Arabidopsis thaliana: one gene and its partners. The protein of the gene in region 2 binds, or shares a complex with, the protein of the main gene of each other region. Each region holds a gene or a part of one and is shown on either strand. Other genes may lie near its edges. The genes, in order: emb2394, AT4G01310, AT1G29070 and RPL4.

The links.
Region 1: AT4G01310 (region 2) and emb2394 share a complex: the UniProt entries of both Arabidopsis thaliana proteins name them as parts of the 50S ribosomal subunit.
Region 3: AT4G01310 (region 2) and AT1G29070 share a complex: the UniProt entries of both Arabidopsis thaliana proteins name them as parts of the 50S ribosomal subunit.
Region 4: AT4G01310 (region 2) and RPL4 share a complex: the UniProt entries of both Arabidopsis thaliana proteins name them as parts of the 50S ribosomal subunit.

Annotation. Positions count from the first base shown.
Region 1 is NC_003070.9:1,499,906-1,507,644, forward strand, and holds emb2394 (Ribosomal protein L6 family), read right to left. Parts: upstream 3,949-7,739; 5' UTR 3,834-3,948; coding exon 3,799-3,833; intron 3,357-3,798; coding exon 3,057-3,356; intron 2,947-3,056; coding exon 2,610-2,946; 3' UTR 2,346-2,609; downstream 1-2,345. Other genes in the region: AXR1 (NAD(P)-binding Rossmann-fold superfamily protein), read right to left, coding at 1-74, 251-344, 427-580, 695-774, 899-1,009, 1,262-1,425, 1,520-1,692, 1,785-1,870; GLR3.4 (glutamate receptor 3.4), read left to right, coding at 5,737-6,088, 6,212-7,545, 7,624-7,739. UniProt on the Arabidopsis thaliana protein: This protein binds directly to 23S ribosomal RNA and is located at the aminoacyl-tRNA binding site of the peptidyltransferase center.
Region 2 is NC_003075.7:541,510-549,337, forward strand, and holds AT4G01310 (Ribosomal L5P family protein), read right to left. Parts: upstream 4,058-7,828; 5' UTR 3,972-4,057; coding exon 3,726-3,971; intron 3,438-3,725; coding exon 3,237-3,437; intron 3,152-3,236; coding exon 3,009-3,151; intron 2,856-3,008; coding exon 2,657-2,855; 3' UTR 2,402-2,656; downstream 1-2,401. Other genes in the region: AT4G01290 (chorismate synthase), read right to left, coding at 1-255, 384-492, 656-852, 1,192-1,394, 1,508-1,615, 1,703-1,773; ATSTE24 (Peptidase family M48 family protein), read left to right, coding at 4,396-4,426, 5,122-5,269, 5,353-5,437, 5,524-5,619, 5,716-5,781, 5,868-5,966, 6,112-6,225, 6,320-6,430 and 6 more. UniProt on the Arabidopsis thaliana protein: Binds 5S rRNA, forms part of the central protuberance of the 50S subunit.
Region 3 is NC_003070.9:10,145,363-10,153,215, reverse strand, and holds AT1G29070 (Ribosomal protein L34), read right to left. Parts: upstream 3,426-7,853; 5' UTR 3,333-3,425; coding exon 3,119-3,332; intron 2,321-3,118; coding exon 2,061-2,320; 3' UTR 1,809-2,060; downstream 1-1,808. Other genes in the region: AT1G29060 (Target SNARE coiled-coil domain protein), read right to left, coding at 3,757-3,918, 4,557-4,613, 5,051-5,174, 5,298-5,359. UniProt on the Arabidopsis thaliana protein: This protein binds directly to 23S ribosomal RNA.
Region 4 is NC_003070.9:2,245,325-2,253,052, reverse strand, and holds RPL4 (ribosomal protein L4), read right to left. Parts: upstream 4,087-7,728; 5' UTR 3,864-4,086; coding exon 3,032-3,863; coding exon of another isoform or gene 3,027-3,031; exon of another isoform or gene 2,881-3,026; coding exon 2,864-2,880; 3' UTR 2,524-2,863; downstream 1-2,523. Other genes in the region: AT1G07330 (dentin sialophosphoprotein), read right to left, coding at 1-698, 785-1,922; AT1G07310 (Calcium-dependent lipid-binding (CaLB domain) family protein), read left to right, coding at 4,220-5,278; AT1G07300 (josephin protein-like protein), read left to right, coding at 6,048-6,237, 6,760-7,139. UniProt on the Arabidopsis thaliana protein: This protein binds directly and specifically to 23S rRNA. May play a role in plastid transcriptional regulation.

The DNA of each region.
Region 1 (7,739 bases), on a different chromosome or scaffold from region 2:
CATCACCCAAAAAGCTGAGGAGTTTGAATTCACTTCAGCACAACTATCATTAATTAATTTTTGAACCTCTGAGCCTGGAAGAGAAAACAGGTTTGGTTCAACATGAAGAATACTGTGATTTGACCCGTGACAGAGCTTTCTGTTAGTTTAGCTCCAATATCAACAATCGCTACACCTATTAACTCAACCATGGAAACAGTAAACATTCTAAGTCAAGTTTCTACCTAGACCAAACAAGATATCTACTTACTGATTCCTCGAGGAGCAAAAACTTTGAAAGCGGCTTCAATGGCTTCTTTGTAGTTATCTTCATCCGTAGATACCATCTTGGACTTAACCAAATCCTAAGAATTCAAGGATATAGATAATTAAAACAAGAAAGCAAGCTCGCTAATAAATTTTATAAGTTACAAAAAAGAACTAAACCTTAAACTCTTTTTTCTCTTCCCTGGTTGAGGGAAGATTACCACTATGGGATTGAGCCCACTCCTCAGCCATCTTTACAAGAATGACGACGTAAGGTATGTGCTTATGTGCAGCGGCCGGCTCTGATACATTCAGATCAATGGTCTCCACAAAACTGCCGTTCATTAAATAATTAAGAATATCAGTAAGTACTCAGTCGTCCATCCACAACCATAATGTTAAAGGATGCCAGAACAACATAAAGTGAGAGGATATGAGAGCAGTGGACCTCTTGAGTTCAGGCCATGGATTATTCAGGCGGAGGTCGTCAAGAAAATGATCAGGTTTTGAGTCAATTATGGGGTGCTCCTGATAAAAAAGAAAAGAAGAGAGCTTAGCATATATTCTCATTGGCCAATATCCTAACCACGGCATACCACAAAGTAATCTAAACTTTATCACAAATTGGGTCTAGACAGGTGGTATTAATTACCTTTACAGAGATGCGAACAAACCCAGCAAGGCCATAAGAGCGAACCAAAACCAACTTAACGTTTGCATCTCGACAGATTCTATCAAGTTTCAACATTGAATCTTCCACCAGCTGCAACCAATCAATGTCGAAAAGGGGATGAAATAACGAACTTAAATAACAATAACACAGGAAAAAGAAGCCTAATAAAGCAATATCCCGTGAAGAGGACGAGGAAAAGTACATATGAGAAACTAACTAAAGAACATTGAATAGAAGGTATCATGATCCATGGTGAGTGACTGTGTAAGCAAAGATTAGAACTTTGAAAAATTGTAACACACAAATCATTAGAGAAGATTACAAATAGAAAAACAATGGTACCTGAGTGGCTATAACGAGAGTGAACTGAGAGAAGAAAGATGGGTTAGTAGTAATCAACGTGTCTGGATTCTCCTCAATAAACTTGGCGTTAACAGAATCATTAAGCTCTTGGAGAAACGCACAAACAGATTTGGCTTTTGATTGGCCAACACTCTTCGCATCGACTTCACATGAAAAAAAAAAATCATCATAACGCAAGCAAGTCCCCCAAAACCCCCAGAAGAAACACAATCAAAAAGTTTCAAAATTAGTCAGTACCCATGAAATTGTTCCCAAGGTCACCAAATTGAACCTTAGATCCATCAACAACGGTGATGCTACCAACACCACCAAGTACGAGATTCTTCAAAGCCTCGGAACCAGTAGGGCCACAATTGAGTAAACAGATACTCGCTTCTTCCAAGGCCGCTTGACCTACCTCCCCCCAAATCCTAATCAGTCAACCCAACGATTACTACTTCATCAATTTTCCTCCCGACAAGAGTAGTTCGAAGTAGAGTTTAAGGAAAAAGAGTATGTATACCTGAGCTGACGATCGTACTTGGTTTTAGGTTCTACCATTGTTGGCTCTTCTTCAACATGTCTCCTGGATCTTTTTACTGCTTGCATCTTCGCAGCTCAAGCGAGAGACGATTTTTGCCTCCGGTGAACTGATAAACAAAAAGACTTTTCTTCAATCAGGGTTTTTGTTTATTTCCGAATATTTTATTGTTTTTAGGAAATTTATCGTTTGAAAAAAGTTATCTACCAAATTAAAAAATCGATATTAATATCTTACTGATTTTTTATATATATAAGCAAATAAGAAAATTTTGTAAATATTTTTTTTAAAAAAAAATTGTGAAAAAGAAGAAGATATAAGCAAATAAGAATAATCACCATGATATTGTTTTTTGTTTTATTTCCGACTATTATTATTCTTATAGGAAATTTTCGTTTTTTAAAAAGTTATCTACCAAATTAAGAATACAGATATTAATATCTTACTGTTACGATTTTTTAGATATAAGAAAATAAGAAAATTTGTAATTAAAAAAAAGAAGAATAGATTAAAAAATTGTTTTAAAAAGTTTATCTACCATGATTTTTGTCCGATTTGGATTGGTTTGGTTCAATAAGGAAACATAACAATAGAATCACACCGATGAGGCACTTTGTGCCCAAGTTCTTGTTCAATCAAAGCACTAAAGAAATTTTTGTCAGAGCATCAAAAACAATTAATGGGTTCCTTTAAAAACTTACTCAAGAATCCCAACACAAACATCTTCATTTCTAAACAAATTTGAGCAAATACACATAAACATTGAAAGGAAGAGATAAGTAAGTAGATAATAATGAAAAATGAAGATCATTTCTTCTTTCCAGCTTTTCCTTCCTTCCTCCGAACTATCTCATCGGAATACTTGACTCCTTTCCCCTTGTATGGCTCTGGTGGCCTCCACTTCCTAACCGTTGCAGCAAACTGCCCGATTTCGCTCTTGTCGTATCCACTCACAGTGATTCTTGTGTTCTCTTCCACTTTCACTTTCAGACTATCCGGTATCTGCATCTTCACCGGGTGTGAAAACCCGAGATTTAGCACCAGCTCCTTTCCGTCTACTGTTGCACGATAACCAACACCCACAAGTATAAGCTTTTTCTCAAATCCCTTTGATACTCCCACAACCATGTTATCGGTAAGCGTCCTAAAAGTCACACAGAAGTTAAAAAAAAAGATTAGAGAACAAACGATCTTTTAACCTCAAAAAAGTTAAGGACTTCATTGGATGACAAGAAAAGATGAGAAGTTTGTAACCTGAAAAGGCCGTGCATTTGGTTGGCTCTTCTAGTTTCGACGGTTTTTTTGACCCTTAAGAAACCGGATTCTTCCTTTGTAAGCTCAACTTCGCGTGGGTAAGTTAAAGCCAGCTCTCCTAATGGACCCTTCACTTTCAAGTCTTGACCTTCCAATGCAATGGTTACATTGGAAGGTACAGCGATCGGTTGCTTTCCTATCCTTGATTCTTTGCACTCAATGGTCTTACTGGAGTAACCCACTTGAGCAAAAGGTGTGCTTGAGACCTTGAACACATTTCTATCTCCCAAAAATGCTGACCTAAAACAAAGGGGAAGTTATCTATCTATCTTCAGATAAAACATGTCAAGAAAGTAAAACTCTACCAGATATATATCTAAACCAATACACAGAAACTGTTATTGGAACAAAGATAACGTTAGATTAAGGAAGAGAAACATTCTTGTAGAACTTTCAGTTTCCATGGCTAAAAACCCCTCTAGAATCCTGCTTTTTACACAGTGAGTTCCGCATAACACATTCAAATTCCCAAAATAAAAATCCACAATTTCAAGAGTCCATAACCAATTCAACATTGCCATCGATTTAAAAAGATAAAAATAACCCATTCAAAGAGATTCCTTATACTTGGGAGGCTCATGAACACAGTTTATAGAGATTTTTGAGTAGAAAATGCCAAGTAAAGAAAACGAAACCCTAGCGGAATGAAGAAGCTCTATGGTTTGTAGTATATGAAAAGTACCTGGGTTGAAAAGATGAGACGAGTGAGGAAGCCATTGATAAGATTTGATGATGGAGCTCTAAGCTCTGCTCCAGAAGGAGGATGAAGAGAAGAAGAAGAGCGTTTTATCCAGAAAAGACTTATCCATCGTCAGCTTCTGTAATCCCCTCTTTCAAATCATTACTTTCACGGCCCATTAGCTCACTATTTTCGGCCCATTACTTTTAACCATCCTTCTGTGGGACAATTCATTATTTGTGTAACCCATTTATCTATATTGATCATGGCCTATTATCTCACTGTTTCTAGGCCCATTATTATAATAACTGTTCACAAAATTTACCCAATGAACGTGGAGTTTGGATTAGATTAATGAAGTCAATAGATTATTAGTAGATGCGTTTGGATCAAAATTGTGCATCTTTCCCGATTAAGTATGTTTTCAAGTCGAATCTTTTAAAGGCATGGATTTTAAACTACTCTTAACAGACAAATTTAAAAATGAAATGGGCCCTTACCCTCAGAAAAATCCAAACAACAAATTGAGAAGATTCAAAGAAAAAAAAGATGAACTGTATATTTATTTTCCTGGTTCACATTTCATTTGGTCAAGATATTCTTGTTCTAAATAAATAAAAAGTTCGATACCGACAAGATATTTGTGGATTCAGTGGCATATTTTATTTTGTGTTAACAATTAACAAATGAAAATTTCAATAAGGAACTATGTAATAACAAATGCAGCTCTTATAAGTTTTTTTTAATAACATTCCTTAATGAACACTCTAAAGACAAAAAATAGTCGACCATGTGTTTCATGCACCTTTTATCATATGAAATCAATAGTACAATTACTTTACTATTTATGTCTGAAAATATCTTTTTCTTTTCTTTTTTTTTTGTGTGAAATTGATTTGACAACCGTTGAGGAGACTTATTCTTTGACGAAGGCGGCCTTGGAGCAATTAGGTCGTCACTCCTCACATTCACATTTTCAATTATTATTTTGCCTCATGTCATACGTAGTTACCCTAATTACCATTTAACTATATCCGTTGTAACCAAAAAGAAAAATGCATCAACTACCTTAATAAATGATAGTTACCAATAAGAGCCAACGTAAAAATTTGATTTATCGAATAGTATGAGGACACAAGTAAAGCATCGATCATACTACCCCACACCTTGGCCTACGTCTTCACTGACCACTCCAGAAATAGCACTCCAAAACAAAATTTACAAAATTTCATAAAATACCAAAAAAATAAGTAATGATAAGGAAGAAAATAGGGAAAAAAAAGGAGAGAGAATATTATGAATTATTCTTTGCTTGAGCTCAGAAACAGTTCTTCTTCTGCTTCTTCGACTTCTTTTCTCTGTCTTTCTTCTTTATGCTTAGTGCTAAATCACTCGTTTACTTGTGAAGATTATGGATCTCTGATTAAAGTTTGTTTCTCGTATTTATTCCAAGGTTGCTTCTTCTTTTTCTCAATTGGATCTTTTAATTTTTGTTTTTCTTTATGTTCTTACATATATAATCTTTAGTTATTTGTTCATTGAATTATTTATTACACTTTTTGCTTCTTTCTCTGCGAACCATCTTTAAGACGGCCCTCTTACACTTCATTATTTTCAGTTCTTACTTGCACATGTAAAGCACCAGTTTCTAGAATCAAAGGGCCTCATATAAATACATTATTTTATACACTATAAATAAATATACAGACACAAAAATCTGTATACACCAATCTCTCTACAGAATCTAACTCCCGATTTCTTGGTTGGTTTTGCCTTCTTTCACCAGATTTCTGGACCATCTTTTTTGTCTTTTGTTATAATCTCAATTTTGATTCAGGTTGGGCATTGTTTATTTCGCAGGTGTTACTCCAAATAAATCAAATGGTTATATGAGACCAGGACAAAGAAAAACTAGTGCTTTTGCTGGAAATTGTGATAAAGATGGGATTTTTGGTGATGATAAGAGAAGTTTCCATGGCGAAAGCAATCAGAGTTGTGTTGTTATGTGTTTCTGTCTTGTGGGTTGTTCCAAAGGAATGTGCTTGTAGAAGTAATTTCTCTAGAAACTCGTCTTCTTCTTCTTCTTCTTCTTTGCGGCCATTAAGACAGAGGCCAAGCTCTGTGAATGTTGGAGCTCTGTTTACTTATGATTCTTTTATCGGAAGAGCGGCTAAACCCGCGGTTAAAGCAGCTATGGATGATGTTAATGCTGACCAAAGTGTTCTTAAGGGCATCAAGCTTAATATCATCTTTCAAGACTCAAATTGCAGTGGATTTATCGGCACCATGGGAGGTATATATACTGCTTCTCCTTCTTCTTCTCTCTTACTACTGTGGCCAACTTTTTAACTCAGAACTAGTTTGTGAAAATGCCCCCAAAGAATGAGTGATGATTATGTTTCATCTTATGGTGTAGCTTTGCAGCTGATGGAAAACAAAGTGGTTGCAGCCATTGGTCCACAATCTTCAGGGATTGCTCACATGATCTCCTATGTAGCTAATGAGCTTCATGTACCTCTCTTGTCATTTGGAGCAACGGATCCGACTCTCTCCTCTCTGCAATTTCCTTATTTCCTCCGCACCACGCAGAATGATTACTTCCAAATGCATGCGATCGCAGATTTTCTATCATATTCCGGATGGAGACAAGTCATTGCGATATTCGTTGATGATGAGTGTGGCAGGAACGGGATATCTGTCCTTGGCGATGTATTAGCCAAGAAACGCTCGAGGATCTCTTACAAGGCTGCAATTACTCCTGGTGCAGATTCTAGCTCCATCAGAGACTTGTTGGTTTCTGTTAATCTGATGGAATCTCGGGTTTTTGTTGTCCATGTGAATCCTGACTCTGGTTTAAACGTTTTTTCTGTGGCTAAATCTCTTGGAATGATGGCAAGTGGTTATGTTTGGATCGCAACAGACTGGCTTCCTACAGCTATGGATTCCATGGAGCACGTGGATTCAGACACGATGGATCTCTTGCAAGGAGTGGTTGCTTTTCGCCACTACACAATCGAGAGTAGTGTCAAAAGACAGTTTATGGCGAGATGGAAGAATCTTAGACCAAATGATGGCTTTAACTCTTATGCGATGTATGCTTATGATTCTGTTTGGTTAGTTGCTCGTGCCCTCGATGTTTTCTTCAGAGAAAACAATAACATAACTTTCTCCAACGATCCAAATCTGCACAAAACAAATGGTAGCACTATTCAGCTATCAGCACTAAGTGTTTTCAATGAAGGAGAGAAGTTTATGAAGATCATTCTTGGGATGAATCATACTGGTGTGACGGGTCCAATCCAGTTTGATTCAGATAGAAACCGGGTTAATCCGGCTTATGAAGTTCTAAACTTAGAAGGTACAGCTCCACGCACAGTCGGGTACTGGTCAAATCATTCGGGTCTCTCTGTGGTCCATCCAGAGACCTTGTACTCTAGGCCTCCAAACACATCTACAGCAAACCAGCGTCTTAAAGGAATCATATATCCAGGAGAAGTAACTAAGCCTCCTCGTGGTTGGGTGTTTCCTAATAATGGAAAACCGCTCAGAATCGGGGTGCCTAACCGTGTGAGCTATACAGATTACGTTTCTAAGGATAAAAACCCGCCTGGCGTTAGAGGCTACTGCATTGATGTCTTTGAAGCCGCTATTGAATTGCTTCCATATCCTGTTCCACGTACTTATATACTATATGGAGACGGGAAGAGAAATCCTTCTTATGATAACCTCGTCAATGAAGTTGTTGCGGATGTGAGTAGCTACATTACTCAATCAAGTTCACAACTTTCAGAAGATGCTAACCTGTCTTTTCTCATGTTTCCTCTTCAGAATTTTGATGTAGCTGTAGGAGATATCACAATCGTCACAAACAGAACAAGATATGTAGATTTCACACAACCGTTTATAGAATCAGGGCTTGTGGTGGTGGCTCCGGTTAAGGAGGC
Region 2 (7,828 bases):
CCAAAATTGTGCTTGCAAAACCAGGAGGTACAAGCGGTCTGGGTGCATTACTTTGAGAAGGCAAAGAGGTGTTACTAGAACCAGGAATTGTTGGAGCGTGATTGACTTCATCACTTCTACTTGGACGCCCTTTATCATCTTTGGACTCCCCAAGAAGTTCAGTAAAATCAAAGTCGTTTTTGCGTAAGTCTGGGTTTGATTTTTGTCTCTCCTGGAATGCTTTTTGATGTTCCTTCCTCAACAACTCAAAAGAAGCTGACAGAGAGTTGAGAATGTCAATTAAAGATTGACACAAAAAGAAACGCATGGATTAACTGAAAGAAGTGCACAAATTGGCAGAGAGCTAAGTTTAGTACAGATCAAAGTCAATAGATCCTCTGTACCTCTTCTTTTTCTTTCTTCTTCTGCTCTATCTTCACTAGTAGAATCAGAAGAACCAAATGTTTCATCATTGAATGAATCTCTAGCGTCACGTCTAGTGAAAGGTGGCGCCTACAAATGTACATGAGAGATTTATGAATCTATGCCGTTAAATCATTCAAATACACCTCACAAACCAGCTGATGAAACCCAGTAACGTGATGGAGCAGTATTCAAGAATCAATGGTACCAGAGACTATTCAAGATGACTACAGCAGATATTTGGGTACTTAACCTTGTATGGGCGAGGAGGATGGTAAGGTTCATTGGTTCTACTCAGCTGATGTGAGTCATTAGATTGAGGTCTAGGGGCAGATGTTCCCGCACCAAATCCAGAAGGCTTAGGGAAAGAACCTTTCCCAAGAAGTCCATCATGCTCAGGTGCTTGCCAAGACCTCCGAGATGGCATACCAGAACGCCTTCCAGGCTCTCCTAACAAAATACACAGTTCCAAATCAACTATAATACACCCAAATTCCAGAATTTTTCGAAAAGACCTTCTTTTCATGTTCACTAGACAAGCAGACTTCATGCCATTCACTTTAGTTAAAAAAAGGTGGAAATCTACATTTACGCATATTGAACAGCCAGATGGATAGAGTTGAAATCATAATAATGAACACTTTTTTGCAGAAAGACATAATTCGTAGGAGTATTTTATAGGTCATATATAACAACAAGGTAACTATTCAGAATACTAGTCCACCTTGTTACTGTAGTAACGTCATCATACAGCATGTAAAGAATAGGATACGAGTAAGCTCCGGCTACCTGAGTCCCGGTCTGACTGTGAATCACTATCTTTATCATTCCATCCACCAGAGCGCCCTTCCCATCTTCCATGGGTGCCTCGAGAGTTAGTACCTAATTCCCCCCTGGTGGGAGGCGATGAACTATAGTCATTCCGCCTGAAACCATGCGACGAAAAATCGCCTGAAATTCTTGCTCGCTCGGGTGAAGGATCTTCGAAGTCACTACTCAAATAAAGAGTGTACAAATCAAGACATGTCACTCCAACATGATCAAACACATTTACACAGTTTCTAGAAATCCAAACTAAAAAAAAAACTATCGGATAGAGTCTCACAGCAACAGTGCTTCATCAAATTCACCAGGCAGATTTGGCAGCTTCTTGCAAACGTCTTTCTCGCTCAAGGATATAAGAAACTTCCTCGTGTATGTAATTCTTGGTTTCCTGAAAACAATTGCAACTGCAGCTGAGAAATGTACAATAAGCAGCAAAACAGAGACATGGATTTTACAAAAAACAGAAAAAACATACTTTTCCGAATCATCATTGGTTTCGACAAGTTGATCCATGGCAAATTGTTGTTCATTTGCTATACTCATCATACAATGCACAAAAATCTTAGCTGATTGAGGCCAAAAAACACCAGTATCTCTTCTTAACGCCTTAATCAAGTAACTCTACAGTAGTTGTCTATAGTAAATACCGTGAAATATGATTCTTCGATATTACAGTAACCACCAATAATATCTCAACTAGCAAAACTTAAACCACGATTCACCACCACGCAACTTCATCAGGATCTAGCTATATGTACAGTGAAAGATTTCAGAGAAGAGAAATTACAGCTCAAAGCCAAAGAAAACTAGCTCATCCTAAACTCACAAGGCTTTAATCTCTCGTATCGGATTCTCTCACCCAACCAAAATAAATAAAAACCTCAAATCGGGAAAAGATGAAAACAGATTATAACATTTCTGCAGTAATCTAAGGTCTTCGACAGCTAGGGTTTTTAGCGCTAATGGGGAATTACATGGATTCCAGAATCCATCAGAAAAGGATAATTAGAAAGAAAAAAAAGTAAGAGTCGCCGATTCTAGAAGAACAAAAGGAGAACGGAGAAACCAATTAGGGTTTCGATCTGCAGAAAGATAATTTTGCTGTTGCTGTTTGTTTTGATCGATTGATGATGAAAAAGAGAAGATCGAAACCAAGTCTTACAAAGAAGAGCGATTTCTCTCAAAGGGGAAGGTAAAATTGACAAATCCACGCGCTAGCTTTTCACGTTCACTCACGCGCTACATTTTGTATAATCCACAAAACTTTCAATAAATTACAGAAAAACCTTGATAAATTTTTACCATAACAACAAGATCCCTGATATTATTTTCAAATTGACTCATAAAGCATTACAAAAGGAGATGGTTTTTCTGAAACATGAAATGGTTGGTTACAGAAGACGATACATACAATAGGCAGCTATGTTCATCATCTCTTTCCTTTTCCTTTAGCATCAAAGTGATGAGACTTTAGTTTCTTCTTCCGCACTATCGCGCCTGTGCTGCCACCACCTCCTTCCCTGAAAGGCATTCCCATTAGAGCCAATAGTTTCTGTCCTTCTTGATCGCTTTTAGCCGTTGTGCTGATGCATACATCCATTCCTCTCGTTTTTCCAACGGCATCAAACCTAGAGTGTAATAAACCAACCAACCAACATAGAGTTTAGTTGCTCGGTTGTAAACAAAGAGTGGGACTAAAGAGAAACCATGCTTGATCTTGTTGAACCAGCGGATAACAAGTTAGTAGTTTTGATTTTGAGGGTAGATACAATAGAACTAACCTGATTTCAGGGAATACACCTTGGTCTTTCACACCAATACTGTAGTTTCCGTTCCCATCAAAGCTACTGGGACTCACACCTTGGAAATCTCGAGTTCTCGGAAGGGCTAAGTTGATAAGACGATCCAAGAAGGAGTACATTACCTGTCACAACAGTCAAAATCACAAAATGTTAATACATAAATAACTCAAAAGGAAAGTTTGATTAGTCAAGAGAAATATAGCTCACATCTCCTCTGAGAGTGACAGCAATCCCAAGAGGTTGATCTTCCCTGATCTTGAAAGTAGCAATGGAAGCTCTAGCTCGTGTCTTAATAGGTTTCTGCCCTGTGATAAGCGCGATATCCTTCATCGCAGCCTCCAAACCCTTGTCGTTCTGCGCCGCATCTCCAATACCACAATTCACTACAATCTTCTGTACCTTTGGAACCTGGTAGAGAAGATGTCCAAGCAGATATACAACAATGATGAGATTGACAAATTCACATTCACATTTGTAAATGGCACATCCCAACAGCACGATTTTATCAACACAACAATCTTAAATCTAGGCTTCTTCACTACATTTTCTAGAAGAAATCAATTCAAACTTATCATTAAAAGCAAATTAGGTTTAACATTCGCTCAAAAAATTCGAATTCACTGAGAATTAGACTTCAATCAATCGCAACAGAACAAAAACTAGGTTTGAGCTCAGAGGGGAAGGATTTGGGGTTACCTGGTGAATATTAACGTACTTGAACTCTTCTTTGAGCGCAGGGATAATCCTCTCGAGGTAAGCGGTTTTGAGGCGTTGAGTTTTCTCGGCTTCAGATTTCTCGACCAGTACAGTTCCAGACGCCGAGACTTTCACCACGTTTCTGAGCGGCGGAGAGAGCATTCGTGCGGAGGATGGAGCCGCTAATGGTGAGAAACGTCCGTGAAACGAAGAAGCGGAAGACTGCAGAAGCGAAGGAGACGCCATTGTCGAAGCTCCAAGTGGATAAAGTGTGAAGTGAGAGCTCTCGGCGTTCGTTGTTGATTAAACCCAATGGCACCTTCGTAATTTGTTGACAGTTTGAGGATAAGGAGTTTTCCGTTTAGCCCCTTTAAAACATAATATTTCAACTAAGGCCCCAATATTTGATAATATACTATTATACTTAGAGATTTTAGATAAAATATAGGGGTTGTTTCATATGGGCCTAAATCTCAGCCCGTTTACTATTTGGGCTTCTAAGGTATAACCCGTACCCGTGTTTTTGTTGTTTTACATATCCACACCGACCTGAGAAGAGTCAAAAACGAAAAACCTCTCTTTTGTCGTTCCTCTGCTTTCTTCGATTTGCTTCTGCTTTCTTCGATTTGCTTCTGCTTTCATCGCGGTTCAGGTCACTCTTTTCTCAGCCATGGCGATTCCTTTCATGGAAACCGTCGTGGGTAAGCTTCAAAACCTTTTTCTGAGACATTTTACTATCCTGTTTCACTCATCGTATTTCGTTTTTGTTTGGGTTTTGCTTTCTGTGTTGTGTGTGTTGAGATTCCATGACTCGTTTGTTTCATATACCATCGTCTCTGCTTCTCGTTTCTAAATTTTGTTCTTTTCTAATAGTGCGTACCTTGATCTGAGGTTTTATTACTCCTACTAGTTTCTTGTCTTACTCGTGCGTTTGATTTGATTTGAGCTTATGTGATTTCATCATCTCTTCCTCGGTTTTAGAATGTACGGAGCTTCTCTGTTAACCAAAATCTAGGATTTGGGAAGAAAAGTCGGAGTCTTTTTTTTCCTCATTCCCGATTGGAAATTGAGAATCTTGAAATTTTTCTTTGTTCAAGTCATACAGCTTGAGGTTTTGGGTTTTCTTGTCAGGGTATTATTATGTTCGTGACTGCAACTAGAGTTTTCTGGAGTTTTTTGAAATGGGTTTTGTGTTGTGGAACCGTATGTGAATGTTGCATCAAAACTCTTTCAGTGCTCCAATGTTTCCATCAGTAGTCAGCACAAGAGATCTTTTTATATCTGGTTGATCAAAAAAGTAGATGATGTTATTGAATTTTCAGTGATGGAGTATCTGTTGTTGTGGCATTTAGAGTAGATTCGTATTTCATCTTCTGTTTTATTCTTTTTCTTACAGGTTTTATGATAGTGATGTACATTTTTGAGACGTATTTGGATCTGAGGCAACTCACTGCTCTCAAGCTTCCAACTCTCCCGAAAACCTTGGTTGGTGTAATTAGCCAAGAGAAGTTTGAGAAATCACGAGCATACAGTCTTGACAAAAGGTTTCGTCTTGATCATATTTATATCATTTTAGTTTTTTATAATTGCCAGGGGATATCATCACTGAGAACTTTAATATATGCAGCTATTTTCACTTTGTTCATGAGTTTGTAACTATACTTATGGACTCTGCAATTTTGTTCTTTGGGATCTTGCCTTGGTTTTGGAAGGTACATATCTGGTTTCGGTATACAGTATCTCATTTTGAATATAGAGTTGTTACATTACAATTGTAAAGTTTTCATTTTTACCTTAGATGTCTGGAGCTGTTTTACCGAGGTTGGGCCTTGATCCAGAGAATGAAATACTGCATACTCTTTCATTCTTGGCTGGTGTTATGACATGGTCACAGGTGTTCCAAATAAACCCCTTCATATAGTCCTATACGTTTAGCATCAAAATATCTATTTTCTTAAGATAATAATATTTCTTTTATATTCTGATGCAGATCACTGATTTGCCATTTTCTTTGTACTCAACTTTCGTGATCGAGTCTCGGCATGGGTTCAACAAAGTATGTCGTATTTCCAACACTACCTTGTGACTTACGTTTTTTTATCAGAGATGTGGATTAAATTTGCTTCTAAATTCTGTTGACAGCAAACAATATGGATGTTCATTAGGGACATGATCAAAGGAACATTCCTCTCTGTCATACTAGGCCCACCCATTGTTGCTGCGATAATTTTCATAGTCCAGGTTTGATGATTCTGGATTCATCTTATTTCTGAGTTTTTCACATGGATGACTATTCTCCATTGAGTGTGAGCTTCAAAGTTTTTAGTTTTCGTGTTAAAAATTTAAAATTTGCTTCTCTGAGCATGAAGTTTCTATCTTTTTCCAGAAAGGAGGTCCTTATCTTGCCATCTATCTGTGGGCATTCATGTTTATCCTGTCTCTAGTGATGATGACTATATACCCGGTCTTGATAGCACCGCTCTTCAACAAGTTCACTCCTGTGTGTATTTCTGTCATGGCCATTTTACAATTCACTGCTTGTTTGCATATGTTGTTACCAGACAATATAATCTCCCGCTTTTTTATGGCTATAGCTTCCAGATGGAGACCTCCGGGAGAAGATTGAGAAACTTGCTTCTTCTCTAAAGTTTCCTTTGAAGAAGCTGTTTGTTGTCGATGGATCTACAAGGTCAAGCCATAGCAATGTGAGAAGCTTGAGATCTCTTCCTACCTACTTTACTCTAGTTTACCATTAGAAGCTTACGTATCTTGTTACATCATACAGGCTTACATGTATGGTTTCTTTAAGAACAAAAGGATTGTTCTTTATGATACGTTGATTCAGCAGGTACTGTGACTCTTGATGCTTCAAACGAGCTATACTCACATTTCTGTTTCTGGTTCTGAAACATAACATAATCTTCTATTGTGCAGTGCAAGAATGAGGATGAAATTGTGGCGGTTATTGCACACGAGCTTGGACATTGGAAACTGAATCACACTACATACTCGTTCATTGCAGTTCAAGTGAGGCTCAACCGACAGTTCAAAAACTTACTCACATCTACATTTCACTTAAGAAATCATGTCTTATGACCCTCTCTCAATGTTTTGCTTGCAGATCCTTGCCTTCTTACAATTTGGAGGATACACTCTTGTCAGAAACTCCACTGATCTCTTCAGGAGTTTCGGATTTGATACACAGCCTGTTCTCATTGGTTTGATCATATTTCAGGTTTGTTATTTTTGCCTTTTGACACTAATCTAATGAATCAAGGATGGATTAAGAAAAAAAAACTCTAAACCTTTGGTTATATCTCCTGTCTGATTATCACAGCACACTGTAATACCACTGCAACATCTAGTAAGCTTTGGCCTGAACCTCGTTAGTCGAGCGTTTGAGTTTCAGGTACCATCTTACAATCCCTCAAGATCCAACCATAGTTTCTTTATTGCAATGGCAGCCTCATCTACTAATCTGAGTTAACGTTCCTTTTGCAGGCTGATGCTTTTGCTGTGAAGCTTGGCTATGCAAAAGATCTTCGTCCTGCTCTAGTGAAACTACAGGTCAGAGAAGATAACAACAGAACACAAACTGTTACCTCAATTTGTGTCACACACTTAAATGGATTTTTTGTTGGGATTTTGCAGGAAGAGAACTTATCAGCAATGAACACTGATCCATTGTACTCAGCTTATCACTACTCACATCCTCCTCTTGTTGAAAGGCTTCGAGCCATTGATGGAGAAGACAAGAAGACAGATTAAGTCCGCTTAACTCGTCTCTTGTACGGGTTGATGTCTTTTAGGTGACAGGTCGAAACAAAACAAAAAAAAGTGTAAAACCATATAGGCAGAGGCCTCTTTTGTTTGTTTTTTACTTTTACAGTGGGTTTTGCCTAGTTACTACTAGTTTTTGAGTTTCTTAAAAGTGGAATCACTCGCACGGTTCGATATGATCATTTCTGATTCGTCTTCTTTTATTAAAATGAGGAGAATCTAACGTATATGAATCATTCTTGTTTTGAAAGTGATATAGGTTATGATTGGTGTTACTACCACATGTTAGAAAATCGTGTAAAAGTAGTACTAAATTGAACATG
Region 3 (7,853 bases), on a different chromosome or scaffold from region 2:
GCAACTGAAAACTTCAGATTCTTCACCGTAACACAATTTCGATTTTCGTTTTTTTCTCAGAATTCTAATCTCAATTATGTAAATATCTTACAATATAATCTCTATTATAATAGGTAATCATGAGTTTTAGTTTTGTCAAAACTTTTTAGCATGAAAAACTTCTGAGCCCAACCAATTTTTAAAATTTTTAATTTCAATCTCAAGTGTCAAATTCGCCGAAACCTAGAAAACATTTAATGCATTTCTCGTCGATGAACAGTGTACGTACAAATCCGGTTCTCTTGGATTCCAACGACGCGGTCCGTACGTACAAACCGGGTTCAGTTTCGTCAGGGGCATTTTGATCAGTTTTTGGCTGAATGGCTAAGAAATGAAAGGCCCAGCCCACAATGTCAAAATCTAAAATTAAAAGTGAGTCAACGGCTACTGTGCGCAATTTACCCTTTTTTTTAAACATCTTTTTAGGTGACTTTCACATCATGTGTCAGATAACTCTTATTTATAATGTAAATTTGAAATAATAATATTATTATATATTAGAAACTATCATATGAATATATAGACTATATATAATTTCCAACGGTTATGAGAAACCGTTTTCTCTTAAAATGCAATCCCCAAGGACAAGTTTGTTGGCGTGTCGGGATAACCAACAATCTGTTGGATTTGATCACTTTTGGATAATCTGTTTTTGGTGGGTTTTCTTTTCTCTTCATTCGATGGAATGTGTGTCACTAGTCTGGTTGCACTTTTCATCAGTTTTAAAGTGCATTTTGGTGGTTGGATAAGTTTGGAAAAATTACAGATATTTTCCATGTAATATGATGGATAGAATTCACTATATAAAAAAAAAAAAAATCGCGTGTTTGGACTTTAGCTGAGTTTAGTTGTGTTTTGCTCAATGTAAACATATATCAACCATTTCACGAACATCAATATGCAATAGAAATGGAATTCTCATGCCATCTCGTCCTAAGATCCTACTCACGGCTTTTACTAGCTACTAGCTAGTCCATCACATCATACACCTTTTAAACATAATAACGTATGTGAATTATGTTATGACCGGAGACTTTCCTTCCTATGAAGAGTTTGATGAGTAGAGGAGTGACACGGATCGAATATTTGATAAATAGCTCATTCATCTAGATAGGTTTAAAACTTTAGACTATTACATTGTAGACAAAAAAAAAAAAAAAAAAAAAAAAGGATACAGAGGCCTTTTATCGGCCCACCTTAAAAAAAGAGAGCTACAGAGGCCTTTTATAGACCCACTTTAAAAAACAAAGATATATGAATTTGAGATAAGAAACCTTATTTCAAACAAGAGAATAGTTTATTTTGTCCCACATCGTTTAGGTAGAGATAGTGATGGTAGTAACATGCCTATAAAAAAGAAAGAGCTAATTACGTAAAAGGCATGATCCTTCAGGCAAGTTAAAGGGGATATGATGAATGGTAAAAACTCGCTTATATTGCGAGAAGAGCGTTCCGCCCAAAGCCTGTTACGACTATTGGGCGCTCTCTTTTTTACACAATCTGATCCCTCCCTAATTTCCAATAAGAAGGAACTTTTCTTTTTTAGTTTTGGTTTCATTTTTCTTAACTAGTTTGTTTTTGGTGCAGTTTTCTTTTTAAGGGGAATATAATTTAGGGTTAGTACTTAAAAGTAATTGTTAGGTTGAAATAAAACTAGTAAATGAAAGTAAAATCCTTCAGGGATTGAACCCCAAACTATATACATCAACTTTCAGCAACCATTAACACTACTTGGAATCTGAACAATTCTTACACACCAGAATTATCCTGGTGGCCAGAAGAGATCTTTAAGTAATTATGGCTTTGAAGTTGAGACTTCGAGTAGTAACAAATTCAATGAAGCAAGTAGTATAGTAGTACATGTGATGAATTCCAAGAACATTGATTTATAAACGAATCAAGGATGCAAGAGAGTTAAAACGCAGAAAAGAGCTCAACGAACCATGTTTCTCATTGTATCTTCTGGTGGAAAAAAAGCACATGAAACAAGATTACAGATAGAGTGAAGAGAGAAACAAACTTCAAGCCCGTTTGCCGCTGCTAGGGTTGGACTTGGGACAGAGGTTCCAACGTCCCTTGGCACGTCGACGCTTTATGGTTGCTCTACCGCTAGTGGTCCTCATCCTTCTACGGAAACCATGAGTCCTAGCTAGAGATTTTCTTGATCTGCTTCTCTTAGTTTGACACAGAGCAGCTTTTCCAGCTCTAACCACAAGGCCTCTGCGTCTCTGGCCATTCAGTCCACTAGTTTGACTGCTGAGATCAAACGCAATGGACAAACCTGAAAAGACAGCAACACCATTTTGATCAATGTGACATTATAGGTTTGATAGTGTATCAAGCTGATAATATTGGAACCGGTAAACTCCTTCCTTTAATTACCCAAAGAACTCACCATACAATACCAAACTCTCAACACACTGCTCAGAATCAAGACCCAGACAAATCCAAAATGACTTTAATGCATTCTCCTAGGTTACCCTTTTAACTCTTGAGCTATAACCATAACGTCTGTTGCTAAATTGGCAAAGCTTATAATTCACTGCTCAAATCTTAGCCTAGCTACAATGGTCGTACAATATACTTTACAAGAAAATTATGATCAAAGGAGGAGGAACAAGTTCATGTGACATATTGAAGCAAATCTATAACCATTGTACCTAAATAATCGACATGAGCTAAAAGATTTTTGTACTAAAAATCAAACAACATTTACTTGCGGCTACAAATACATGAGCTAAGATATCAGAAATTGAGGCTTAAGTTGCAAAATGTTATCTTCACTTGTTGTTATAAACTTAACAAGAAATATCAGAAACAAACAAAATGGCTTCTTTCACTCACACTCCCAAATCGAATTCACCATTGACAACTATGTTTCACAATTCCCAAATTCTTCTAAAAAAGCTTCGAATATATGTGTTTGCAAAGTAAGCTAGAGCCTAACACACGAGAATAGTGATAAATCAACCAAACCCAAAGAACCAGAAAAAAAAATCAAAATTGGGTAAAAGAACTTGATACATTACATCACCAGAAGCTAAACACAAACAATAATTCGAACCAATTTAAGATGTACCAGAAAATGGAGACGCTAGGGAAACAGGCGACGAGAGAAACGAGCAATGAAGCAATTGCGAAGAAGCGGAAGAAGTGAGAGAGGACGAACTCCGTCTACAACCCGTACGCAGAGAAAGCGAAGCAGAAGGAACGCAAATCTTGCCGTTGGAGGCAGCAGGATTCCATAAACGCGACGAAGCCGAAGCTACAACGGAAGTGGATAAGGAAGCCATTCAAGTTCCCACTTCTTATCTCCAAACCCAGTTCCTTTGTTTCTCCGGTCTCCTTTACATAGTGTGGAACCTCTATCGTCTACGGACGATACCACCATAAACTTACGCATAAGAACCAACCATAATAATACACGTATCACGACACTTCAGCCCATAAGACTATAAAAGCCCAATACTGAATTGGACCGGACGGGTAATTAATCAAGTTAAGGCCAGATTTGAACTGGTCTAAAATATCTCATGCTGTTGTTCTGTGATACAATTTTGCTTCATGTAAACTGTTAAAAACAGGCACTCTATATAACAGGTAACGAGAAGAACCACAAAATGTTTGTAATCTAGAGGATATTTTCTACAACTTATCCAACATTCATCAAGGGTTTTTTTTTGGGGGGTAACACAAGTATGCCATGAGTCTCTCTATCTATCTTTTGAACATCTTGGACCACATGTAGAGGATAAAGAAGAGGAGGAGCGCGAAAAGAACTACGTGCATTATGTGGTTGTTACCACTACGGATTATGCTTAGGTTCAGTTTCCTTATGTTGTTCTTCACCCCTGCTTGCGCTCTGATCAATGTCATTTGCTGTCACAAACAAAAACAAAATACCATTGAAGCGTTTTATGTTTCAGACAAGAACAACATTTCGTCTACTTATTTTATTTTGCTTATAACAGCACTAAATGCTTGTTTCTGCAGTCTCACTACCAAATCTAGTTGTTTGTCATTATCTTCTCTAGGATGTTCTTCTAGGTAACAAAAGAAAAAACTAGAACGAACTAAAAGCAATGAACACATTCAACACCAACATTCTCATTGACAAAGTGGCAGGAACTCAATGATAAGCTGTAACCATTTCCTGCTGCATTTCACCAAACTAGGTGAGATTGAAGATATCTAATCCTACCCACCACCAGCGTTCAGACCAGATCCTAAGTAAACATAATCTACACTTTGGATTTATCAAGATTCATTGGTTTTGTAAGCTACGGTTAAAGTTATCTAACATATGTTAGGATGAAACTATATTTTCCCAACTAATAATGAACAGAGACATCTGAAACAAGTTATAGGAAACCGATATTCGGATATACTATATATAATCAGTGATTCATCTTAAAGGTAAAGAAGAGTAAATGAATGCATGTTACTGATGTTAAGTGCTTACATTGCAATTTACTATGATGGATAAAGAAAAAACTAAAGGGACATCAACAACATACCAGTTCATCTAAGAAGTCCCTCTGAGACTTTGCTTCTGACCCAATTTCTTGAGCAATCTGCATCAAAATAAGCGATCAACGATATAACAAAAAATCATGAGGGATAAATAATGCGCAAAAGTGCAAGGTAAAACACAAGGAATTGTAGAGAATGTCGACTGATTCCTTCAAGAAGGGTGGTGATATAAAACAATAACCACAGATGTATACAAAAGACATCAGACAAGTGGATTCAACTAATTAATCGTGGACTGACTGATAAGTATTGTGAACAATAACATTATCATAGTACCCTGAACAAAAAAACACCTACACAACTAATTAACCAAGCTCTAACCACTGTCAAAACCGAAAAGAAGACAAATTTCCAAATTCATATGATCAACTTAAAGCTTAAAGAGAACAATGATCCTTCAGAACCACAAGAAGACAATACAAATGGCACTATAGATAAAAAGTAGAAAGATCGAAATGGGATTTAGAGGGTTTCTTACATTTTTCAATTGCCTGACTTGGCCATGGAGACCTAGAATCTCATCATCCAGGTCAGAGTGCATAGGATCAATCCTCAGCTGAATTTCCTCTGAACCTGAAGCATTTCTAGTGCTTAGCCCTTCTCTACAAATCACACACCAAAGATAAATACTTGTACTTTACGCAGAATTCACCAAATCTAGGACCCGTTTTCTCTATCCAGAATCGATTTCAGAAAAGGAGAAACTGATAATATTAGAAATATACCTAGATCTATACGGATCAGCTCCGCCGTATAGAGAACCACCCGCACCGCGATTGGACGCCATCGACGCGAAATCTAATGGGTGTAAGAAACCCTAAATTCGAATCTGCTGGGGTTTGAGAAATTAAGTTTTGTATTCTCTCAGAAAATTCGAGATCGAGAAATTGCAACCAAAAGAAGAGAACAAATTTCAGGCAAATCAAAGAGAAAAACGACGACGATTGAAACAAGCTGGGCGGGTGCTCTTCGATTCAATGATAAATGACCGCGAGGGAACACGTGGCGTTTTAATATTGGTTGATTATCGTCATGTTTTTGAGTTATGTAAACAAATAAAGAATGGCAGTTTTGAAATATTCGTCAGCCAATATTTTTTGGTTTATGGGCTTTTTTAACGGGCCGATCCCAACTTTAGTGGACCACAAATTCATTCGTTCATAATGATGTCATTGAAAAAGAGAGGTATTTACTCTGTTCGTTCTACATTCGTTGTATTGTAAGCATCAACGATACCCAATTACACAAGAAAAATGTTGTTTTTTCATGATGGTGTTGTTATTTTCTAATTGTTGTTAACGAAGAGTAAAGATAATAGAATCGTGTTTGCATTGTAGTCGTTAGTTTATCCATCGGTATTTATTTTTAATTTTTTAGTCTTTTTTTAATATATTAATTTTTAGTGATTGTTAACCAACTGTTTTATAAACGTTAACGATATGTAGGCTAAATTTTCTGAATTAGCAACAATGTAACAAGCATGATTTTATCGCTGAAAGGTATTGTTGAACCAACAAACTACAAAACAAACATAATTTCATCATTTGTCACTGTTGTGTATCACTGATGAAAGCCAAACAAACATATCCTAGTTTTGGTTACAATATCTCAGTGTTGATATGATAGATGATGGTAAGCGGTAACTCAATTTTCACATAAAGTAGTGGTCTTGACTTGTTGTTTCTAGTTGGTTGGGGCTAGGTGTCATTGCAATCGTTTTGACATTTTAGTAGGATCAAAGAGGTCCAGTCCAACGAATTTGAGGTCTAGTACAGAAAATGAAAATTTTGAGCTTTAATTAACATTTTTATTGAAAATAAATATTAATTGGAAAATTTCTATTTTTTTCAAAAACTTGGACTTTTATTCTGTTTTATTGAAATATTGTCTGAATTTTTAAAAAGAAATGAGCGTTTGTCTTTTGTACTTATCTAACAAATGGTTTATGTCTTGTGTCATTCATACTTTTGTCCTCTCTATTTTGATCTGGTATGACGTTAAAGTGTTATCCATTATTCATACGGTCCATGTTGCATTGGACTATATATCTACTAGTCAAATTCAAACATTTGACCTTCCACCAGATCCTATCGTAATTTTTACGTGAGTTGTAGTCCTTTTTTGTTTCCTGAAAGCAGAATTATTGTACCCATCTTTTTAACAATGGTAAGAAGATTTACGAAAAATGGTTCAATGAAACGTTCAAAAACTGTGAACAGAAATTGATTTGCTAATGTAGTTCGGAAAAGGAGAAAATGGAAAGTTGGAGAATTTATATATTAAAAAAAAAAAAAAAAGTTGGAGAATGTTATTAAATCATCGCAAAAACTTGTTAAATCACTGATACAAATATTGGAGAATTTTACATTTTCCTTTCTGCATTATAAGCTTATGGTTATGGCTATCTTTGTGAGTAAATAAACATCTTTTTAATTATTATTTTTTTCATTTATATATTCGAAATTAACTAGATGAGGGATTTAGTAAACAGAAAGAAGAGTTGACATCATGTAAAATCGACCGACAGGTTCATAATGATGTCATTGAAAAAGAGAGGTATTGTCATATATGGTGTCACCGCTAGGTAACAGAGACGTACATTAGCTTATGTTGATGTATTGTCAGTTGGTTAATAAAGCCCACCACTACTTCACAACTTGGTTGACTTTTCGTTTTAGTATTCGATTTGTCATCATTAATTATCTCCCAAGAATTTAGTCCACCGAGTCGTATGCTATATAGAATCCAAAAGATATCAAAAATTTACAAACAAACATTATAATAATACTTTGTACAATTCCTTTAGTTTAGTTCAAGTGCAAAATAGAAACTTATTCATGAACTGTATAGATTTCATATTTCGTACTTTGTCTCAACTAACAAAATGTATGTACTTTTGGAATTAAAAACATATTTAAGATTAACTAAATTTCATCACGAGTGTATTTTGTATATGATCGTACTACGTTAACCAAAAAGTTTCACTATCCCCAATACCCGAGTTTCTTAAAATATCGTATACTCTATATATAGTTTTATTTTCAATATATATTATCCTTGAATTATCATTAAATTCATGGATTTAACTACCCAAATATTATTTATAAAGATTTCATATCTTTTGGATTCCTAACAATTTATTGTATTTAAAAAGAAAAGAAAAAACTAGATCTGACGTTAGATAGTTAGTCCATAACAGATATAGTTGATATCCTATCAATTGTGAAGTGGGATAGTTATATAATTGACCGTTTTGCGGAGCCGAGCTTGTTCCACGCATA
Region 4 (7,728 bases), on a different chromosome or scaffold from region 2:
TCCTTTGTCTGAATTTTCCAGTGGAAAGCGTCCGGATTTTGAGCTCTCTTCTTCCTCAGATCTTCCGTTGATATCAGTACCATCAGACAGACCCTCAACTTGTTTGGCTACATAAGTTTCTGGAGAGACCTTAGAAATCGTTTCATTTAAATCTTTATCAACTTTCTCCACTGGTAACATTTGAGTTTCTTCAGTTCTATCCACAATGCTCTCCTCACCACTAAATCCCGTCTCCTTCCCAATGTCTGATTCGTTGACAATACGTGATTTTTCTTCATCAGAAGAATTATTCCCATCAACTGTAGTGGGAGGTGATCCAATTTCAGAAACCTCAACTTGAAGATCAGATTCTACAGATAACTTATGACCTTTTTTTGAGCTATAACCAAAATGCTCCACGTATCTTTGCCTTTCCGCTGCTAAAGAACTCGAAAGCGAACCAGTGTTTCTAGGAACTAAACCAACTAAAGGGTTTTCAACACGAAGATCACCATTTCCTTTCCCAGAAGTTCCAGAAAAATATGCTTGATTTGAGACATCAGAATTCATTTCCCTGTCTTCAGGAGAAAGCAATGAGTTTGAATCACTAACAACAATCTCTGTCATGTGTTCTGACTCCATATCATTTACTTCTCCTCTTGTTAGATCTTTTCCTTTCATTACAGGATGTTTCTCCCCAACCAATCCATCATTGCTACCTACATGAGCAAGGATCAGAATTGTAGAACTTAGAATCATTTACTTTGTAAGCTACAACATTTTTCAGAATGACAAGAGGATGTACCTTGTTGTGGTATTGACTTCTTTTTCCACGGTTCCCATTTCGTGTCAAGCTGATTGTCCAATGGAAAGACTCTGCGACAAAAGCTTTCATGGCGGCAGAAGAAGATATCATTAGGGTTGGCTGCAAACTCTTGCTGAAAACTATCTCCTGAGAGGTTAGGCTTCTCTTCTTGTGGATCATAAGGAATATCAAAAGGGTTTTTAGTTGGTAATAACACAGAAGGTGCAGATTCAGGCATTTGAAGACCATCAACTATATAGTTTTCTTGATCCAAACCGAAATAGTTCCGTCCAACACAGACTGGAGGAACTTCCATATCCATTAAGCTACTCTCAGCGGCAAGTCGGACTAATCTCCTCATTCTTCTTCTAGTAATCAAATGCTCTAACCTCTTGTTACGTTCCATCTCAGAGTTTCCTAAATCCATCAAATTCTTTTGATCATCCTCTGTCCAAGCTACAATCTTTTTGTCTTCACGTGTAGTTTCTTCTTCTTCTTCGCCTTCTGATGACGATGAACACTCGATCTCGGTTTCGCCACCACCACTAGTCAACCTCTCCGATGGATCCACAACGGAAACATTCCCGGTGGTTGAAAGAGTTTCTTCATCTAAGCTAGGCTCAAAGGAGAAACCTTCAGACACAAGAAAGGCTCCATCTTTCTTGAATTTCTGAAGTTTGGGAGATTTTGCAGTATTGGGAATTTCACCATAGAGAGTTGTTAAAATGACTCTGTCTCTCTCATCTTCACTAGCCTGAGAAGAGTCCCAATCTTTCCCAACCTCTTCAACTTTCCTTCTAGCGTTTCGTCGAACACTTCGTTGGTGCTTTAAGTCAGCCTTCCTTGTTTCTTCCTCCTCAGATCTCTTTTGGGAAAATGGTGAAAACCAATTATCCGTTTTGATATGCAAAAGCTTAAAACTTGGATGATTCCGAAGATAAAACACAGAGCATGCGATTAACGGAGAAGAGTAAAGGACGAAATAAAAAAGGCGTGGAAGAAAAATGTATAGGAGGAAGATAATTGCAGAAACACCAGAAACAACTGGGTGATTCCTTACGTTTCTATAAACGATGTTCGTGGAAAATCTGAGAATTTTCCAGAACAGAGTTCCGACATCTTTGGCATCGATTCCCATGTTTTAAACAGTTCAAATTCTCAGAACACTTTGAGAGATAATAACCCAAAGCATTCTGTCTATGGCGGTTTGTGTTTTGTCCTAGAGAATCAAAATGCTTGAAAGGGAAAAACAAATATGGTTTAATTGAAGAAGCGAAAATTGATCAATAAGAGAGAGGTCAAGCTTTCATTTGAAACAATAACCAGTCAATAAAAAATAGATTTTTCAAGGGTTTTTTTAGATTTTCGTTTTGGTTCTTTTTCAGTTTTCAGAACACACGGTAAGGACGGAGAAGACAAAATAGAAAACTGGTAAGAGAGGGCGGGAGTTAAATTAGTTGCTTTCTTACACATGTTTCCAAAGATTCTTGTTTTCTTACACTTTTAACCACATTTTTTACTGGTTCAGAAATTGACCCTTAAAGTTCATGGATTTTGCATCTCATATCTCTTTCTTCAAAAGATTGGGCTATCTTCTTAAGCCCACCAAGACCCATCAAATGTCTGTAAATAACATACACTATTGACACTTCCTAAGTTTTCTAGCTAATCCTTTTTTTTAGCAAGTTGTTAACAGATTTGTGTGAGACTATTCATGATTTTCAAAACCAAGATGAACATCAACGCTTAAAGCTTATAATAGCCACTCTTTCTTGTTAACTTGATGACTAAAGTCAATCTTTGTTGCTCAATCTTAACTGATACACACACAATCAACGTTACTCATGATATCTAATTTCACTCCTTACTCCTTCATTGAGAGTTGGACACAAAATCAGTATGACAAGAAATTGAGGATGATCTCTTAAGAAAAACTCTAAAAGTAAATACACATTTCTCTTGTTGTGACACAAAAAGGAAAGAGAAGACCTCATCAAGGAGAGTGAGAAGATGTACTCAAGATTAAACTCATAATTAAGCCACACTTGAAGCAATTGGAACTACGGGTGCTACTCATTCTTAAGCTTCCTCTGACCCTTCATAACACAAACAAATAATTACTTTTCCATATTAACACATCATATTTCTACCTCTTCAAGAAATTAAAACCAGACAAAAACGATCAAACACAACATTCAAAACATCAAATTTCGACAACAAGCCAGTTCCTTTCAAGAAAACACTAACCTTCCGTCTCATCTTCATCGTCATCTTCTTCCTCCACCGCATCAACACCGTACCTCGCATTCAAGAACTCCACAGCCGCAGGAGTCAGAACAAGCTTATCAGCGTTCAAAATATCAAACAGATTCAGTGTCCTAGGCGTCAACATCCTCAAGGTTCCAATGTTCCTACTCGATTTCGCCACATTCTCATCCACATCAATCATCAAGAACATAGCTTTCTCCTTGGGATCCAATCCCCACCTTTGCATCGCAGCTAAGAAATCTTTAGTCTTGGGCTTCTCAAACTTCTCCCCAAATTCCTCCACCACTATCGCACCACCTTCCGCAGATGCCGCACTCGATAACGCCGTAGATATCGCTAGCTTCTTCTCCTTCCTATTGATTTTAATTGACCAATCCTTAGGTCTTGGCCCAAACACCACACCTCCACCGGGACGTAACGGTGTTCTCTGAGATCCACGCCTCGCGTGGCCAGTTTTCTTCTGTGAGTAAGGTTTAATTCCACCACCACGAACTTCACCGCGAGTCAGTGTGGAAGCAGTACCTCGCCGCTTGTTATTCAGGTCCGTCACGATGGCTCGGTGCACAACGGCACGCGCGGTATCCTCCGGCGCCGCTTTGAGGTCTAGATACGTCTCTCCGACCTTCTCTCCTTCGAATGATAGAATCGGTAGAGTCGCTAGCTGGGAAGAGACAGAAAGCGGCTTCGAGACTCTGCCGGAGCCGAGTTTTGAAACGGAAATGTAGGTTTTAGGGATTTGGTGAGAGGAGGATAAAAAGAGAGAAGATGAGAAGAAAGATAGCGAATTTGGTGCTGTTGCAGAAGAAGCCATTGTTGTTCCCTGACCTGACCTATCACAACGAAGAAGAAGAAGAAAGACTGAGAAAGTGTTATCCACTCTTCAAATGCCTATCTTGTGCTTGGTGAGAATTTATGCATCTGTTTGGACATAAGGATATAACTATCCTGTTCATGAATAACTCCAGCTGTCGCTAGTAAGAAAGAGTCAAACTCCAAAAGTCAAAAGCCTCTTATATAGCCAGCAGGTTTTTTGAGACATAAAACTCTGTGATAAAACGATGATAGTTGATGATAGCTGAGACTTTGATACAGATATTTGAGATACGAGCGCACGTTAGCTAAGACCACCGCGTAAGCCACCGTCTCGTCTTGAAACGCACCGTATTCATGACTTCGTCGGAGCCACTCGACCTGGTTGTCACCGTCGTCTCTGCCAAGCACCTGAAGAATGTCAACTGGCGTAACGGTGACCTGAAACCCTACGTTGTTCTGTATCTTGACCAAGACCACCCTCTCTCCACCCGCTCCGATGATTCCTCCTCCATCAAACCGGTGTGGAACGAGCGGATTACTCTTCCTCTCACCCGATCTGTCCACGAATCGGTCCTCAACATCGAGGTTTTTCATTCCAATTCTTCGGATCTGGCGAAAACCCTCGTCGGATCGGTTAGGTTTCCTCTAGCTCGTTTGATTGACTCGGACGGGTCAATGATTCCGGAATTGATCAACTCGCTCGAGCTGGTTCGTCCATCGGGTCGACCACAGGGGAAGATTCGTTTGAAGCTCGCGATCAAAGACAGACCAATCCCTCCACCGCAGCATCCTCCGCCACGTCCTCAATCTCAACCACTAGATTACTATTCTGCCCCTCAAGGAAACCATTATTACTCCCCTAGCCCTCCTCCTCCTCCTCCTCCTCAAGCACCGATCACCGCTCCATCTCCTCAGCGTGACTACAGAGAATTCTCACAGTCACCGTCTCCGTCTCCTTACGCATTCACTGATCACTACTATTCCGGGTATTATTATCCGCCTCCTCCACCACGTTCAATGTACGATCGTGCCTCCAATTACGGCCTCCCAAGTGGCCCATCTGCTCCCGTTGATGCCTTCTCATCGATTGATCACAAGCAGCCTCCTTTAGCTCCTCCTCGGTTTTCTAACTACGGTCCACCGCCTAGTGGGCCCTCAGCACCCGTTGATGCCTTTCTGGTTACCGAGTACAAGCCACAAGCTCCACCTATGGGCTCGCGATTGTCTAGCTACGGAGTGCCTAATGGTCCATCGGCACCAGTCGATTACTCTCCTTATGATCACAGGCAGTTGCAGAAGACGATGGGTGGATTGAGCTTAGAGGAAGAGAGAGCTGCTGCAGAGAGGTCTGAGAGTGATTTCGGAGCTAGGCCAAACTACAGCTATGGCCGTGATTATCGCCGTGAATGTTGAGGATGGCAAAAAGTTGTTGAATTTCACAAGTGTGCGGCGTTTCTAAGGCTTTACTTATCATCAGATTTGTTGGTGTTAGAACACCAGGAAATGGCTGATGACAAAATATGAATTTGGTGAAGTATATGTTATGTCTATATGTATGTCTCGTTTGTGAATTGATTTGTTGCTTCTTTCTAGCTGATATTCGGTGTTACCCCTTCTGTACCTTTGTACATGTTTCTAAAACATCTCTCATTTCTTTCCTTCATTCAGTTTCTTGAATCAAGCTATTGGGTTCTTAGGGTTAATGTTCTAATGTGAATCACTTTACTGTTGATTTATTGTTTGAACCATGCTCTGATTAGGTATGGTAGTATGCTCTGTCTCAGACATGAACAGTCCTATATCCTGCGATTCTGCCGAATATTTTTGCAGGCTGGTTAAAGACTTTGGTTCTTATTTCATGTTTGATGATACCAATGTGTGATTTTCGTTTGGAACCAGTGATCTCCATATTCATTGAGCGTTTGGATTAATGTGTCTTGAATCATGCTCATCACAGTGCAGAAAAGATGTTCTCTCTGATCGTTTTGGGTAAAATGGTATGTACACGGTTGGTGCTAAGTCTATTGTGCTCTTGTTATAACGATGAGACAGAGCAGTTTTGCTATTGCATTCTTTTCCCTTTTGGCATTTTGGTAACCTGCTATACATATCAGTCAATCTCATGCTATTTGCATCTAATCACTGACAATCATGCAGGTATTATTGTTCTGTTCTCAATGGAATGTTTTCACATGTAAAATCACTCTATTCTCCAGATTGTGTGATCTTCTATTTATGTCCTGACACTCCCTGGTTTATTATATGCTTTCTCATATTCTTGTACCCACCATTAACTTGTTTTTTTGTTCTTTCCTTGATCCCTCCTTTTTATTGTAGCCGCAGACTCATGAAAGGAATCTGCATCCATAAAGGTAAGATTATATTGGCCTCTCCTGGAGTCAAAAAGAAACTTTTTTAGATTGTTATGTAACTTATGTGCACACATGAGTGATCATCAAAGAAGAATGATACCAAATGGTTGCTTAACCTTTTTCTTCACTTAAACAAAGGGTTTATTCCCTCTGTGGACCGTAAAGAAAAATAGAAAAAACTAAACCTAGTCTTCTCTTTTTGCTCTTGGGCATAGTTCTCTTTATAAATTTGTAGATCCACTTTAACTACAAGTCTTTTTATATATAGGGTCTAAAATAAGATTGAAGTTACACTTTTTTGTTAGTTGTTTATTTGTTTATGTCTTGAGTGCTTAATCATGGCCTAAGCGTAATGATGTTATAGATAATATACATCATTAATCATTTCATGTCTTTTCCCGTATTTGCCTGAACTATCAGCACAACTGTTCTCAGCACCAGTCCGTTAAATATCTCTCATTATCCTCATATTGTTTCCCATAAACTTCTCTCACTCTCTCTATCTTTCTCTTGATATGTCAGCTACTGGTATAAAACGGTCCAACCTCAACACTAGACCGGTTCAGAGAGATGCTTCGGCTAAGCAAACAGCTATCAAGGGACCTTATGGTAAGAGTCCGGGATGCACAACAAGCTGCGGATTAAGGTTACCGAGGAAAACAGAAGTGACAGCAGCAAAATTGATCAAGCATCTTGGATGCAAATTTGCAAAAGGTTTGCGTCTGGTGGTGATGAGGAAGAAGAAAAGATCTCCACCGTCGAAGGTTTCTTCTTTTTCTGGGAGGTCTCAGCCACCAATCATCCCAATAAACAATGACAGTCATCGATCAGAGGCCATAGAAGACTGCATACAGTTCATCAACTCATCATCCTCCTTCACCAGATCAAACTCTACTTCTTAAGTGTTATCATTCCCAAACCTTTTGTCTCGGTCGCTCGCTCGCTCGCGTATTGTCTATTTTACTTATTCGTGAGAGTTGCATGTAAATAATGTCTACATAAATCTATTATGTGACTTCTGTTGTTGTAGTACGAGTAACTGTCTTCCATCTTTCTCAATTTCTGTCTATAAATATTAGATTTTGATATTCGTATTTGTTCATGATTAGTTACAAGGATAAGCCACTTCTGTTTTATCAATAAACGAATTTCCTCTTTCTATAATACATATTTTTCTGAGATGTTCCTATAATTAAAATGTTCGTGTGTGACTTATTTTATCATTTTATTAATTATGTAGTAAAAATGCTTTAGTTTAAAAAGTAAATTTAAAATAGTTTATCCAAGAAAGTTCATAAATAAAGCATGGCCACTGATTTGTTTACCCTAACAGTTAGTAGCACCTTCAGTGAACGGGAGACCACCTAAATCAATCTATGTGTGAGCGTGTGTGATTTGTTTAGCTTTAACGTTTGATAGCCTAAAACAACTTCTTCCTTTTGTGTAGTCTTTTTACCCAATTCTATCATATCTTTTAAAATAGAAAATTAT